Drosophila melanogaster: one gene and its partners. Changing the gene in region 2 together with the main gene of any one other region gives a genetic interaction. Each region holds a gene or a part of one and is shown on either strand. Other genes may lie near its edges.

Region 1 (7,741 bases), on a different chromosome or scaffold from region 2:
TGTATATAAAAAATATATCCCGGTGTTTTATGTAGCGATAAACGAGTTTTTGATGTAAGGTATGCAGGTGTGTAAGTCTTTTGGTTAGAAGACAAATCCAAAGTCTACTTGTGGGGATGTTCGAAGGGGAAATACTTGTATTCTATAGGTCATATCTTGTTTTTATTGGCACAAATATAATTACATTAGCTTTTTGAGGGGGCAATAAACAGTAAACACGATGGTAATAATGGTAAAAAAAAAAACAAGCAGTTATTTCGGATATATGTCGGCTACTCCTTGCGTCGGGCCCGAAGTCTTAGAGCCAGATATGCGAGCACCCGGAAGCTCACGATGAGAATGGCCAGACCCACGTAGTCCAGCGGCAGATCGGCGGCGGAGAAGTTAAGCGTCTCCAGGATGACCTTGCCCGAACTGGGGCACGTGGTGTTCGACGATGTGCAGCTAATTTCGCCCGGCTCCACGTCCGCCCATTGGTTAATCAGCAGACCCTCGTTGGCGTAACGGAACCATGAGAGGTACGACAACCATTTGAGGTATACTGGCACCGAGCCCGAGTTCAAGAAGAAGCCGCCAAAGAGCAGGAATGGTATGATAACCGGCGGACCCACAGACAGCGCCATCGAGGTCGAGGAGCTGGCGCAGGATATTAGATATCCGAAGGACGTTGACACATTGGCCACCAGAGTGACCAGCGCCAGGCAGTTGAAGAAGTGCAGCACTCCGGCCCGCAGTCCGATCATCGGATAGGCAATCGCCGTGAAGACCAGTGGCACTGTGAGAAAAAGCGGCAATTCGGCAATCGTTTTGCCCAGAAAGTATGTGTCACAGCGATAAAGTCGACTTCGGGCCTCCCTCATAAAAACTGGCAGCTCTGAGGTGAACACCTAAATCGAATCGATTCATTAGAAAGTTAGTAAATTATTGAAATGCAAATGTATTCTAAACATGACTTACATTTATCGTGGCAAAGACGTTTTGAAAGGTCATGTTGGTCAGGAAGAGGAAGATGGCTCCGTTGATATTCATCACACCCACTTGCGTGAGTTGTTGGCCCAAAAAGATGAGGCCAATCAAGATGGCAACCATCTGCAAATTAAAATGTTACTCGCATCTCATTAATATTCGCGAGTTAAATGAAATTTATTTATCTTCTGCAAAACTATAAACTATACATCTCATTGAAAAAAACTAAGAAGGGTGTGGAATCAGGCAATTCTATCTAAAATCTAGCGAATTTGTTTCCAAGAATTGTAAGCGTTATATCATTTGTTTCCACTGGAACCACTCACCGTTGTCTGAATAAGTCGCACTTTTACGAGGAGTGGTTCCTTGAGCACCGACAGCCAGGATCGCCACAGGACCGCCCGGAACTGCATGAACCAGGTGGCCTTGTAGGTGTACCCATTCTCCGGCTGCTCCAGTGGCTTCTCCAGATTTTTGGTGGCCAACAACTGCTCCATATCCCGGGCTACTTTGCTAATGGCAAAATTGTCGCATATCTTGGCGATCCGATCACGGGACTCGATCTCCCGTCCGGGCACAACGGCCAACACCTGTACGTAAAAGTCCGCCGGATTGTAGTTGGTAGGACACTGGGCACCCACGCTGGATAGGAGTTGAGATGTTATGTAATACTAGATACCCTTAATAAACACATCGAACTCACTAGGAAAAGAAGTCGACGGCTTCGCTGGGAGTGCCCAAGAAAGCTACCCTGCCCTCGGCCATCAGAAGGATCTTGTCAAAGAGCTCAAACAGCTCGGAAGACGGCTGATGAATGGTCAGGATGACGGTCTTGCCCTTCTGCGACAGCTTCTTCAGCACCTGGACGACGCTGTGGGCGGTAAAGGAGTCCAGTCCGGAGGTGGGCTCATCGCAGATCAGAAGCGGCGGATCGGTTAGAGCCTCGGAGGCGAATGCCAGACGCTTCCTTTCTCCGCCGGACAGACCTTTCACCCTGCCGGGCACACCGATGATCGTGTGCTGACATTTGCTGAGCGAAAGCTCCTGGATCACCTGATCCACGCGGGCCACTCGCTGCCGATAGGTCAGATGTCGTGGCATCCGCACCATGGCTTGGAAAATCAGGTGTTCCCTGGCCGTTAGGGAGCCGATAAAGAGGTCATCCTGCTGGACATAGGCGCACCTGGCCTGCATCTCCTTGGCGTCCACAGGTTGGCCATTGAGCAGTCGCATCCCGGATGGCGATACTTGGATGCCCTGCGGCGATCGAAAGGCAAGGGCATTCAGCAGGGTCGTCTTTCCGGCACCGGAACTGCCCATCACGGCCAAAAGTTCGCCCGGATAGGCCACGCCGCAAACTGAGTTTCAAATTGGTAATTGGACCCTTTATTAAGATTTCACACAGATCAGCCGACTGCGAATAGAAACTCACCGTTCTTGAGCAAATGTTTCCTGGGCGCCGGTATGTGTCGCTCGTTGCAGAATAGTCCGCGTGTCCGGTTGACCAGCTGCCGCCATCCGGAGCCCGGCTGATTGACCGCCCCAAAGATGTCCATATTGTGCCAGGCATAGGTGAGGTTCTCGGCTAGTTGGCCGCTCCCTGAACCGGAGTCCTCCGGCGGACTGGGTGGCCGGAGCGTGCCGTAGTTTTTGGCCTGCCCGAAGCCCTGGTTAATGCAGCTCTGCGAAGCCGCTCCGCTGTCACCCTGCAATGATAGGGGATCTCAAATATCAACTACAAGCGTTATGCTCATCTAACCCCGAACAAAAAGTACCCCGAAGTATCCTACGAAGTAGGTTTATACTTTTATTTATTTTTTGTGCATCTAGAAAAGGTTTCAAGCTGAAAACTTTTCAATTTCACGGCGTTCGTCCATAAAAATGAAGGCGTCTGTGCATAAATCTAGCCCAGCCTGGCCAATCCCTGCTCCGCCGTCCCTGTTTCCGGGCACTAACCCCCCCCCCCCCCCTCGGCTTTATAAAGAAGGAGCCCATCTGTTTAATAAAAATGCCCAAGATCCGAGTTTTCCAAGTTTCCCAAAAAGGAGATGGCGAGGCCTATTTAAAATGTGCAAATTAGGGCTGGCACTTGGTGGATGGCCTTGAAAGTGGGCGGTGGACGGTTGACGGGGTCACAGGTCGTTGGGCGATGGACGATGGGGCGATGGGACGATGGGTGGTGGCAGTGGCAAGGTTCCTCCACCATGTTGCCACCTCATAAGACAATTGCGAGTGTAAATCGCTGGCATCTTTGGCTTTCGTTTGGGGACTTTGAGCTTCGCCAGTTTTGTTTTTATTAAATATAAAACTTTAAGGATACTTTGGCTTTTTTTGGGTGGTGGGAAAACTCAATCTCTTGTAGATAAGTGCAATGAGCAGTATAAAGCAGTCCATTTACTTGATCCAATTATGTTGAACGCAATAGTGTTCAAACTACTACTTCTGCAATTGAGTTTAAGTTTATAAATCCGAAATACAAATTCTTATTTACGTTATTTTGTTTACGGGTAAAGTGATTTCCAAAACCACTGAGCTGTCAGTTTTCGCCCAGGTGGGGCTTCCCTTTTCGAAATGGCGGTAACCGAAGACGTTTGCGGTATGGTCAAATCAAGCCATCCTCCCCGCCCCAACTTTTCGCCCCATACCACTTCCGTTCGCGCATATTTTCATTTTCATAAACAATTTTCCGTTTTCCATTTGTGGGGTTTCTTGCCATCGCAGCGGCCTGCGGCAAAGCATAAATAACAGGGATCCACTAATTGGCGTCGAGGCAAAAAAAAAAAAAAATGGAAAAAACAAGACAAAATGATGGCCACAATATGGAAAGCATTTTATCCGCCGCTGCTCTCATAATAATTTGTATAAATAATCATAAAAAAAATTAAGCAAAAAAATGCAAGCAAATGAGAAAGGCAAAATCCGAAGAAGAGGGCCAAATAAAAAGCTGACATTCAATAAAAGCAAGAAAAAATAATGTCCACCTTGCACTCAGCGCCTGGCGGTCCTTGCTACAGTGAGCCCTGCTAAGAACTTTCATTTTTTGAACTATTTAAAATTAAATTTATTTTTCAAAACGATTGGGGGATTTGGATTTATCGTTTACATTGCTACATATAAAATCTAGCTAAAAGACCAAAGCCTGAAAACTGTTGCATTTCCTCCTTAGCGAGGCTTCACTGCTCATCTTCTGCTGCGATGCTTTGACAGCTTATTCTTCTAGCCACTCAGTGTCCAGTTTTTGGCCTGTTACCAAAAAAAAAGCACAATTGGTGACGTTACGAGAGGTAGACGCGAAAAAATGTAATATCCGTTTTCAGGCACTCCTCGAGCAGAGCGAGATGGCCATATGGCTGGGAAAGAGATAGAGGGACATGGCGAAATTGTTTTCACAACAAATGAGGCCGAAAAATGTTATTAAAAAGTTTTCTTTTCTTTTCTGTTTTCGCCGTCCCTTTCCCACTGGGTTTTCTTATCTCCCTGCCTCCTCTGGTTTACTCTCCCACCTTTTCCCTATTTTCGTATTTTGTTGAAATAAGTAGCGAAAGATGCTACATTTCATATTTATTTAATTTTTTGGCTTACTTTTTTTTTTATTTACTTTGCGTGCTATTTTTGAATTACTTACGAAATACGAAGGAAACTCGAGGAGTGGGCGCTAGATGGCGCTGTGCAGGGAGGCGAAGGAGTATCGTGATGAACTTGACAAATTGAAATGACTGAATAAAGAAGCGACTCAATTTGTTGTTCCTCCCGTTTTGTCGATTGTGCGAGTGGCTAATGAGTGCACTCAAAAGTCATTCACTTTGATGAGAACGAAATACTGAAGGAGGCGCAATTATTCAGCGGAAAAGCTGACGACCACTCGATATTATTAAGGAAATATCAGAGCGTAAACGGCCCAATATGTACATATATGCAACGAACATATAATTAAAGATGGCTTCAAATATTCCATACATATCATATTTTTCAATACTTTGTTACCTTTACTGCGTTACTTACTTCCCAAAAGAATTAAAGTTCTTATCTCCTTGTATAACTTTTTGAGACTTTTCAAAATTGTTTCAAAGAGCCCGGGGCTAGATATGCAAATCGTACTCACTTATTTATTTTGTTATACAAGCCGAGGTGCTAAGAATTTAAAGCAAGATACGCACGAAGATACCTAGATATCAGATGCTGAGCCCAAAGCATTCGTCTAGCCAAATAATGACCCAGATAAGACTAGATTGTACATTTTTCGTCGAGCGAGACGTGCAAACAACGAGGTATTAAGATCAGGTAGAAGATGCGAGTACACAACCAGAAATGGATACGGATACAGTATCTAGTATCTTGGCAAGCCTAGAGTTATAGACACCCAGCAATGTTGTTGGCCAACTTAAGCCGACTCCTCCCACGCCACCACTGGTTATGCGTCCCTAATTACGATCTACTACATCCAACTATTTGGGGTCGATGTATAATGTAGTGTAGTGTAGTGTAGTGTAGCAAGAAAATATTTGAGAATGAAAGGTGGAAGAAATGAGGACTTCATGGTAAGCTTAAAATATCTGGTTGTTATATTTTTTGTAAAAAAGAATATAGTCGAAAATGAATGCCTTTAGATGTCTTGATCATGATATGATCTCAAAAATTGTCTTATATAGCGAGAACAGCTACCAGAATAATCTGTTTCGTGTCACTATTTGTTTGTGCAATTGCGGTTTGGGATTTTTGTGGGTCGCAGTTCTCACGCCGCAGACAATTTGATGTTGCAATCGCAGTTCCTATAGATCAAGTGAACTTAAGATGTATGCACATGTACTACTCACATTGTTCAGATGCTCGGCAGATGGGTGTTTGCTGCCTCCGCGAATTAATAGCTCCTGATCCTCTTGGCCCATTGCCGGGATTTTTCACACTTTCCCCTGCTTACCCACCCAAAACCAATCACCACCCCAATCACTCAAAAAACAAACAAAAATAAGAAGCGAGAGGAGTTTTGGCACAGCACTTTGTGTTTAATTGATGGCGTAAACCGCTTGGAGCTTCGTCACGAAACCGCTGACAAAATGCAACTGAAGGCGGACATTGACGCTACGTAACGCTACAAACGGTGGCGAAAGAGATAGCGGACGCAGCGGCGAAAGAGACGGCGATATTTCTGTGGACAGAGAAGGAGGCAAACAGCGCTGACTTTGAGTGGAATGTCATTTTGAGTGAGAGGTAATCGAAAGAACCTGGTACATCAAATACCCTTGGATCGAAGTAAATTTAAAACTGATCAGATAAGTTCAATGATATCCAGTGCAGTAAAAAAAAAAAATGTTTTTTTTATCTACTTTCCGCAAAAATGGGTTTTATTAACTTACATACATACTAGTGACAACATGTTTATGTTTAGCTAATGTGTTCCGTTCAAAATAATTAAAAATTCGACCACCTTTGCACCAATATGATAGTACCCCACCTGGGCAGTACTCATAAGCTGAGTGGCTGTCTTTGAATACTGATTAGGTTGAGTGGGAAGCGTCTTCTTATCGTGAATAAGAGAGTTCTTGTTAATCCGCCTGTTGTCGTCCCGTTTCGGGGGTTTGCACTGTACTTTGCATGCATGATTTATCAAACGGCGACTGTTGATGATGCGCATTCCGCACTCCCCGTTTCCCGTACGCCTATCCGCACCCGTACTTCGGACACTCCGGTCGTTGTCGTCATCGTTAGCACCTCATCTCAGGCCCCGGAATCATGAACTGCCGCCATCAGCTGTCCGGGCATTATCAATCTTCATCATCGGGGCCAGTTGGTCCAGGATATGGATCTCGACTGGGACGGGTTTTCCGGGAGGCTATCAATACCATTTTCACGGACGATGTGGTAACAGGTTAGCAGTTGCAGTTGCCGAGGAATCTGCAGGAATTAATTTGCTGACGACGATTAAGTGGTCTTCAAATGAATATGGTTTTCTTTTGAGAGTTTAGCTCAGAATAATAGCTTTTGATTCGATTTGCAAGTTAATTATGCATATGCATGTGATATTTGTAGAAGTCTCACTCAGCACTAGTAACATTATTTCATGTGCCAGTTTTAATGCATATATGTTCTGCTCTACAACAGCTTCAAAGTTCGAAATAAATGATTTTCCTATTTCACTGAAGATCTTTAGCTGACTCAAAGTTAGATGTATGTACGATTCGTAAGAGACTTCCTTTGTGGGCCGATCTAGCGACAGACAACAAAGAAACGTCAATGTTTCACTCATTTTTGCCAACTAACCGAGTTTTTCGCTCAGTGACACTTATGGGGCTTCTTCGATGTTGGTTGAGTGGAGCTCGAATCGGGTTTAGACCGTCTTGAAGTTCGTGTTCGTGTGTGTTTGCCATTACTAACTCACTCAAATGCTGTAAACTTTTTGCACTTAACAATTTATTGTCACTCGCCTGTCGCAGCAGCGAAAGAGCTGAAAAATGGCATTACAACAAAAAGTGCTTAAAACCGATTATGAAATGCTCTAAGGGAATGCTGTAATTAATTAGTTTGCCGTTTTTATGCGCTCTAAATCAATAATAAAGTTAATTGCATACGTATAAGTATGCAGTTCATTTTTTTTAGAGTGGCCTTAACTTGATTTTTGCTTATTAGCCCTGCAATTGAACATTTTTTTTTGCCCTACCTTTGGGATTCTTTAAATTGGTTTGCTATTCCACAATGCAATGCAATAACACCGTATTGAAAAGCGAAAAGGAAGTAACTTGAACTGAGGCGTAGAAAGTTTTTTTCAACACACACTTTT
Region 2 (4,871 bases):
GCCGAGGATCGTTTCGTGCCGGCGCAGCTGGATGTGAGGATGCCGCATGCATCTGGCGGGCTAGTCTCGGATCTCGTTGGCGCACCGAGTTCAACAGTGCCGGATTGACAGGATGGACTTTTGGTTTATTCGCAAAAAGCTGTAATTCCATAGTTGAATTAGATTTTTTATAGCTTCCACCATCATATTTCACAATTTACCTGCGGAGCCACTGGCATGTTATGCATTACGGGACCAACATTGCCCATTACTCCTGGAGCTCGTTGATTATGCACTGCTATACCGGGATCCGTGATTGGCGGACAAATTGCTGCTGGAGTGGGAGCAGGCATAATAATCGGTGCTCCAACCATCGCGTCCGTGGTTTGGGTCAGCTGACGCTCCTGCTCCTCTAAATGCTTTTTGGTTTGCTCCAGCTCCAGTTCCAGTTTGCGCTTCTTGAGCTCCAGCAACTCACGAGTTTTTGCTTGCAAAATCTCCTCCATGTCGCTGGTGATTGTGGGGTTACCAGGCATCCCAGGAACCAAACCCTTTTTACAATTGAATGGATACATTGGTCTAACTAAAGGGATTAATAGTTATTTGGGGCACTTACCGGTTTTAAGAAATCCGGATTAACATGAATGGCCGGATTGACGTGAATTTTGTTAGTTGGCTGTTTGGCAGTAATGGGCCAGTTGTTATCTAGGCGCTTCACCTTAACGTCCAGCGCGTACATCTTGGATGGCGGGAACACCTCGTTCCAGGTCTGACGCAGGGCATACATGCGTTCCCGCACCTTTTCCAAAACCTGCGACTGTGAGTGCTGGACCTGCAGGATTGAAATAACATTAATGAACCATTGGATTGACATTAAGAAAATGATTTCGCTTACCGATTCGAAGGCGTGGAGGAATATGTTGACTATGCACTGTCCAAACAATTGGACGTAGCTGCTTTTCACATTCTTTACTATCGAATCAATTAAATATAGTATGGGCAATTTAAATTCGGGCGCCACCTGTTAGAAGTTTAGTAAAATAGGTAAGAAATAAAGAAGAATAAGTGTCTACGGAACGTCGCTAGCGGAGATTCAAACGGATAGGTTGGAAGAAAACTAATGAGACAGGCCGATGGACAACACAAGAGCAGGGTCAGCGATCGTCCACCGAAGTCATCATCCTCATCTGCTGGTGGTGGGTGCCTTCATGCCAAGGCGGTCGAACTCAAACAATATCCTAGCCTACAGAGAAATATTTTCCTAAGCATTGGGTGTTGAATGAGGAAACGCGGTGTCTAAGGATCTCCAAACATTAAGGGTTACAGTGTTGGCGTATGATGTTAGCGGTCTGTTCCCTTAGCCGAGTGAATATGAATGAAAATCGCAGTGACAATGTGGCAGAAACAAAGGCTTTTACTACTCTTACGTATTATGGACATTTGTTTTTGTTTGGCTGCAGTTTTTTTTACTTTTACGAAAACTTGCACTTTTCTTTTTGTAATACAAAAATTGCTGCACATCAATTTTTTTTATATTGATTGTAAGCAGTCAAAGTTTTTGTATAAAATAAAAGACAACTTGGTGACAATTGTTTAAGCATTTTCTCTTTTTATTTATTTTTCAATATTTTTTTAAAGGTTGTTTGTTATTCCTTAGCTTTAAACTCTGGGATCCAAAGTAGAAAGAAATAAGAAACGAGGAGCAGGTTGGTTAAACTTCTTACCTTTGTAGATGATTAAAATCAGTCACGGTTTATAACCCAAATTATGAGATATATACTAAGATTATTAGGAACCTATCTACCATTTGTGCCCAAGAGTTTGCAGAAAAACCCAACTGAAAGAACCGAGTCTTAGAAACGCATATGTGTGGCCTTCGTTGGGTTTCTCTGCAATCAAAGGGCAACCGCAATCAATAAACTGCACATTCTATCACAATTTCGATATGGAGAATCACTTTTAGTGTCGACCGTCTATTAGCTGTGTGTAAGCTGGAGTGTCTTTGTTTTTAAGTAAATACGCTTTTGTTTTGTTAACCTGGCTGATGTAATATTCCACCACTTTAACTATGATGTGGGCGTAGTTGATGTTCTCCTCGGCAAGCATCGTGAGCATATTGATCAATGGCTTGCTGTTGCAGTTGAGGTCCTGGAGACTTGACAGATACTCCTCGCCGATCCTTCGCTCATCGTCGCGGTAATTCTGAAATAGCTGCTCCATTGTGGACTCTGTATTCCAGATCTTGATCCGGATATTGATCAAGTTATTTGGTTTGAAGTAGTCGCAGTTGCTATGTTTCGACTGCAAGGGAAAATATAACAAAGTAATTAAATGACATGAAAAGCAAAGGTAATTTGTGTGAAAAAGTTTGCACTATTAATGGGATTTTGTCGGGATATTTTGGATGAATAATGTATTAAGGTTGCGATGTTTGTTAGCGATATCTTCATCTCTGCCCATTTTATTTGTAATAAACCGTGATGCACTGAAATCTTAGGCTGCACTATGTGGATAGATAATCCTGTATACAGCGTATCTATGTATGTAATTCGTACCAGACGTAAACAATCACGCGCGTCCACAAACACAAGGTAATCTCTTACATATATACACACACACACGTACGGAATGACGACGAAAATTCAATATGGCGGCCATGAGCATATTTTCGCATGTGTGGCCTGCCCGAATAAATTAACCAATAAAGTGCTTGTTTTTCCTTTCTGTACATCGCATTTCACGCTTTCACGAAATATTTACGTTTTAGTGAAACTATCTCGTTGCTTAAATTGATTTAACGGAGATTTTCCCAGACAAAGCCACGTTTGTGTTACCACTACATACACACGCGAGTTATCAGTTCGACTTCAATTTACTTTTTCGCGCTGCAGAACATTTAAAAACATACCTTTTTAAGCTAATACATTTGTACAATCACTGCCAGACACTTTTGCGAGGAAAAAATTTCACAAAAGCACTGCTACTATATAAAAATTAGCTTTTGAAAACTCTCACGTAACAACTGCGATGTATTTTTGATGACTTACACTTAAAAGTGTGGCCGTCGACGTGAAATGGAAATTATACATTTTATACAATTTTTATTTAAGGAAATATACTAAAAATATACCATTAAGGTATTTTTTGCATTAAACCGCGTTGCCAACCACTAGAAATGTTAAATTTTAAAGTGCCTTTAAAATTGCAGTATAACTAATTAAAAAAGAAATTAATGTTAGAAGTGTTTTATTTATTTAGTTTTAATGCAATATGCACTATTTAATTTTATAGGCGTTGCCAATTGAATTAATATACCACCAGGTGGCGGTAGTGGGCGATCCGAAAATTAGTATTGTTTCTTTAACTTCATTTCTTCTAGCCAAGTAACGGGTATCTGATAGTCGAGAAGTTCAAGAAGACTATATAATAAGTCTGATATTAGATCAGATAAAAAAAGAAAGAAAAAAAACAGATAAGAAATGCAAAATTCTTATCATACTTTTAATTACGCTCATATAGTAAGCAGAGAATAAATGCATATATTGCATAGACTTTTTCTTCAAGGCGGGTGTTCTACAGTTATCTCTCACTATATCAATTGCATTAACTTGAATCACCGTTAAAAGCTCGTCAAGTCCGAGCTTCAGTTCGATTTGTTTTCAGTGCGCCTAAATTCTATGAGACGAGGTTATCTGCCTAGGTCTGTTTACACTACTGCAGCTGATTGTAAGCGGAGCGAATAGAGGCGTTGGTCCAGTGTTCAGTTCATAGTGAATCTATTCGGGGAGAGGATGCTGGATGTAGTGGCTCTACTGCTTATTGCCCTGGCAGTGGGCTTCTGGTTCGTGCGGACGAGATATAGCTACTGGACCCGGCGGGGCATTGGCAGTGAGCCGGCCCGGTTTCCCGTGGGGAATATGGAGGGATTTCGGAAAAACAAACATTTCATCGACATTGTAACGCCAATCTATGAGAAGTTCAAGGGCAATGGAGCACCCTTTGCCGGATTTTTTATGATGTTGAGACCTGTGGTCTTGGTCACAGATCTGGAACTGGCCAAACAGATCCTCATACAGGACTTCGCCAACTTTGAGGATCGGGGAATGTATCACAATGAGCGGGATGATCCTCTAACTGGGCATCTATTCCGCATTGACGGGCCCAAGTGGCGACCCTTGCGCCAGAAAATGTCCCCCACCTTTACCTCAGCTAAGATGAAGTATATGTTTCCGACGGTCTGCGAGGTGGGCGAGGAACTTACTCAAGTTTGTGGCGAGTTGGCGGATAATGCCATGTGTGGAATCCTCGAGATCGGTGATCTGATGGCTCGCTACACTTCGGACGTGATAGGACGGTGTGCCTTTGGCGTGGAATGCAACGGCCTCCGGAATCCCGAGGCGGAGTTCGCCATAATGGGCAGGAGAGCCTTTTCAGAGCGTCGCCACTGCAAGCTGGTCGATGGATTTATAGAGAGTTTCCCCGAAGTGGCCAGGTTTCTGCGCATGCGCCAAATCCATCAAGACATTACGGATTTCTATGTGGGCATCGTTCGGGAAACTGTGAAGCAGAGGGAGGAGCAGGGCATCGTGAGGAGCGACTTCATGAACCTGCTGATCGAAATGAAGCAGCGCGGTGAGCTCACCATCGAGGAAATGGCCGCCCAGGCATTTATATTCTTTGCGGCGGGATTCGACACATCCGCATCAACGCTAGGATTTGCCCTGTACGAGTTGGCCAAGCAGCCGGCACTGCAGGCAAAGCTACGCGAGGAAATCGACCAGGCTCTGCGGTTACACAACGGTGAATTCACATATGATTCCATGCAGGAGCTGCGGTACATGGAACTGGTCATAGCAGGTGAGCCCGACTCAAAACGAATTTTAAATATTACA
Region 3 (3,527 bases), on a different chromosome or scaffold from region 2:
GACACCGTGTCCAACACAATGCCAGCCGGAGGCTAGCGTCGACTCCTGCTCGCTGCACTCATTTAATTGCATTATGCCGCAGGTTGTCGCATTGCCCTGAAAGTCCTGGCTGCCACTCCGCCACTCCAAAGACACTGCATTAATTTGCATGTGAAAAACTGCAGCTTCGCTGCGCTGTCGGTGTTGTTTTTTTTATTTTTTTTTATTTTTATGGCTGCTCGCTGTTTTTGCCCAGAGTTAATGAAGTCAACAAGCTGCGGCTGCATTTCATCAGAGTGAGAAGCGGCGGGCCAAAAGGATTTGCCAGGAACAATGCTGTGTATAATTTCCCCCTGTCCTAACAACTGGTGAAAGTTTATGTTACATTCGCATGGGCAGCAACATAATTTACTGCCCAGAGAGCCACAGGAATTCCAAAATCCGCTTGGTTAGTTTTTTTTTAAGGTATAGTATGCATTCTAAAAGTGATTTGATATTTGGCTTTAAAATTTCATTAAAAAATCAGAGATTAACTTTGCAAAACACATATTCTTGTTTTCAAATTCCACGTATTACAAAAACTTACACAAATCAAGCAATAAACATCTTCATTCATATCTAAATGGTTGACTTATTTAAGAGTACTCTTATTTTACTTATAAACTTATTTAACAATAGAAAAAATATAACTAAAGTATTAAAGTATTTTATACATTTTCGTCCTACTTACGTGTAGTACAAACAAAACATTTGGAGCCTTATGGATTTGGTAGCATGAACCAATAAAGTAACATACTTGATACCACTTCCATTTAAAACTTGAAACAGCCCTTTTGTCTGGGAGGAACGCGTCGAGTACGATTTTGGCTTACTTCCCGTTGAAAACAGAAGCTACCGCTGGCTCTGCTCAAGATGTTCTCCGCAGTCAACCAGGAGATGTGCGCATGCTCACCGAATTTTCTGATCGAATTCCTTACTCTCTGATGGGCACTTGCGGCCGAGTCGTTGTTGCGGTACTCAAATATATAGAAGAACTGGTCTAATTGATACTCGTAGACTCGAACGATGGTAAAGGGATGTATCTTCAACATCTCCTGGTACACTTGCCATGGTCTAAGCGACGATTCTACGTTTTTGAGCACCAGCTCGCGATTGTTGGTCGATGGCTCCACCCTTAAGCACATGCAAAGCTGTCGGAATCGCATTGGCAGACTGGGATTATTAGGGTTAGTGCTGTTTTATGTGAAAATTATTACGAAGTACGTACTATTGCATTGCCGATTCCTTGAGGTCCACATTGATATATTGCAAGTAGGCGTAGCCGCGAGAATTTCCCGAAAAATCAATCTTATAGCGCATAATGTAAACTTCACCCAGTTCGCTGGCCACTTCCACAATCCACCGCGGAGAACAACTGTGATTCCTCGGTATACACGAGAGAAACAGCTAGAAGCAAAAACGTATTAGTGTCTCCGTAAACTTTTGAGACTAGATGCTTCACTAGACACTCACCTCGCCCTTTCCCTCATCCAGTAAGGATTTTAGATTTTCATCAAGGACTTTGCGCGTAGTTATGGTAATAGTGCCATTTACTTGACTGGTGCAGTATTTGCTCTCGAAATCCATTTTAAAAATAGCAAAAAAAAAAAAATACACAGCATACACGCGTGCATCAAAAAAAAAAAAAAAAGCTAAGATGCCAATGATTTAGTGTGACCAAATAAGCTTTAAAACATACAACGCTCGCGACGTTGCCAGATAGTCAATGAAGTTGGTAAAATTCTTTATACTTAACACTTAGGTAAAGTAACGGAGGGGCATAAACTTATTATTGTTTATGAACTTGTTTGAATGTTTAACATTTGTGTAAAATAGAGAGTGTTTTCATATTATATTTTTGCGTAAGAGGTCTTTTTTTGGCATTGCTGCGAACTCAGCTCTATACGAAGGTATTCTATTTTTGCTATGTACTTTATGCATTTACTTTACTCTTTTTCCAAACCGCTTTTTGCATGTCAGGCAATTTCTTTGCTCTTTATTTTTGCTTTCTTTTGACAGGCTGCGCGTGCTTTTTTCTAGCTCATGTTTAACAATATAAATTTATGCAGGCAGTCGGTCGTTTGCAACTTTTGCTCACAGTTCGCCACAAGCCGCAGCACCTATGTATGTATGTATGTAGGTTCGCATCGCATTCGCTGTTGTTGTTGCTGCGGTTAAGCCGCCCATCCGCCACCCACTCCACCACCCACTCACCCCACCAGGGGGCATCTTGATGGAGGTTGCGGTGCACTCAAGTGCCTGCTGCCGCTGCTGCTGCTTCATTTTCCTAATTTATACGCGCGCTGCGCTAATGAAAATTTACGTGGCAACCGCATACTGTTTTGTTGCTACTGCTGTTACACTAATAATTCATTGTTTCGAAATGGCCATAAGCAAATTACTGACATTAAACTATTTGTGGGAGGTAACATGTTGTTAGATTAATACACAACAGTTTTCTTAAATGAAGTGGTAAATGCAAAAGCTATCACTGTGAAGTCCAGTTTAGTCCACGTAGTGTAGAGACGCACCAGGTAAGAGTGTTTCGACAAGAAAATCCATTAAGTTCTTTGAAAAGTAAGCTCTGATATTCTTTGTTTAAAGTGTAGTGTCGCTGCTCCTTGTGCTTGTTGCCAGACGTGGGCCCACCACTTGAAGCATCTCTGAGAAACCCTGAGCTCCACTTTTGACCCCCCTCCCCTTTCTGCGGTTGAGAGACGTTTGGTGACAGTCGCCGAGTAAGGCCACTAGTCCCACTTATATTTCCGCATTTCCTTACCCGATTTGAGTAAGCGGTTTCATTTTATTCAAATCATTAAAATTACAAATATTTTTTGGGAACAAAATCAGTTGATTCCGGTTGAATATGCGAATGTGGCCATGAAGGATCTAAGCGAGGAGTTACTGGATCGCCATTTCAGGCAGCAGCTAGCCAGTTACAAGTATGCCGATCAGGCAAGGGCTAAGCAGTCGGATCGCCCCATCATGGCCAGATGGATAAAGATATTCGAGAAGGCTCCTCTCAGCGAGAAGTTGGCCCGAAATAGCCTGATGCTGCTCATGCATGGCCACTTGAAGGACTTTGGAGTGCTCAAGGAACCGTTCACGGATGTGCGTAACTACAGTAGGAATCTGAACGTAATTTTGGATGAGTACAGAGGCCAGCCATGTAAGAAGTTAGCTACTGGCAAATCACCTACACTGCTCAAGAAGTGCTCGACTCAAATTTTACGACCCAGGAAACTGGAACCCATCAAGGAGGTTTCCGAACAATCGGAAAATGATCCTACGACCAGTAGTTTTGCCAGCATTGTGACAATAATACGAAAAACAAATACGCGATCCTCTGACTCGAAGGATAGCCAAGTTTATCCAAGGACTGGCTTCGAGTCCCCAAATGGTGCTGATAGTCACACTGTGAAGAAGAGAGTCGAACTATTGGAGTATGAGCTCTCGAGAAATAAGCAGCATCCATCGAGCTCCACATTCAATCGGGATGCACCTGACAG

What was found.
Region 1: of Pcf11 (region 2) and w, changing one suppresses a phenotype caused by changing the other (phenotypic suppression), as found in Drosophila melanogaster (4 studies listed by BioGRID).
Region 3: of Pcf11 (region 2) and tut, changing one enhances a phenotype caused by changing the other (phenotypic enhancement), as found in Drosophila melanogaster (one study listed by BioGRID).

Annotation. Positions count from the first base shown.
Region 1 is NC_004354.4:2,790,457-2,798,197, forward strand, and holds w (white), read right to left. Parts: upstream 6,011-7,741; 5' UTR 5,853-6,010; coding exon 5,781-5,852; intron 2,673-5,780; coding exon 2,399-2,672; intron 2,325-2,398; coding exon 1,670-2,324; intron 1,609-1,669; coding exon 1,293-1,608; intron 1,090-1,292; coding exon 958-1,089; intron 888-957; coding exon 273-887; 3' UTR 143-272; downstream 1-142. UniProt on the Drosophila melanogaster protein: ATP-dependent transporter of the ATP-binding cassette (ABC) family which transports various molecules including bioamines, neurotransmitters, metabolic intermediates and second messengers.
Region 2 is NT_033778.4:14,868,033-14,872,903, forward strand, and holds the start of Pcf11 (Pcf11 cleavage and polyadenylation factor subunit), read right to left. Parts: upstream 3,040-4,871; 5' UTR 2,888-3,039; intron 2,281-2,887; 5' UTR 2,200-2,280; coding exon 2,017-2,199; coding exon of another isoform or gene 1,939-2,016; exon of another isoform or gene 1,614-1,938; intron 1,001-1,613; coding exon 875-1,000; intron 812-874; coding exon 596-811; intron 531-595; coding exon 201-530; intron 140-200; coding exon 1-139. Other genes in the region: Cyp6a22 (cytochrome P450 6a22), read left to right, coding at 3,771-4,836.
Region 3 is NT_037436.4:8,209,067-8,212,593, forward strand, and holds tut (tumorous testis), read right to left. Parts: upstream 1,678-3,527; 5' UTR 1,606-1,677; coding exon 1,492-1,605; intron 1,426-1,491; coding exon 1,247-1,425; intron 1,192-1,246; coding exon 792-1,191; 3' UTR 511-791; downstream 1-510. Other genes in the region: CG8006 (uncharacterized protein), read left to right, coding at 2,899-3,527. UniProt on the Drosophila melanogaster protein: RNA binding protein that forms a complex with bam and bgcn, involved in 3'UTR-dependent regulation of a subset of mRNAs. Preferentially binds a long isoform of mei-P26 transcripts.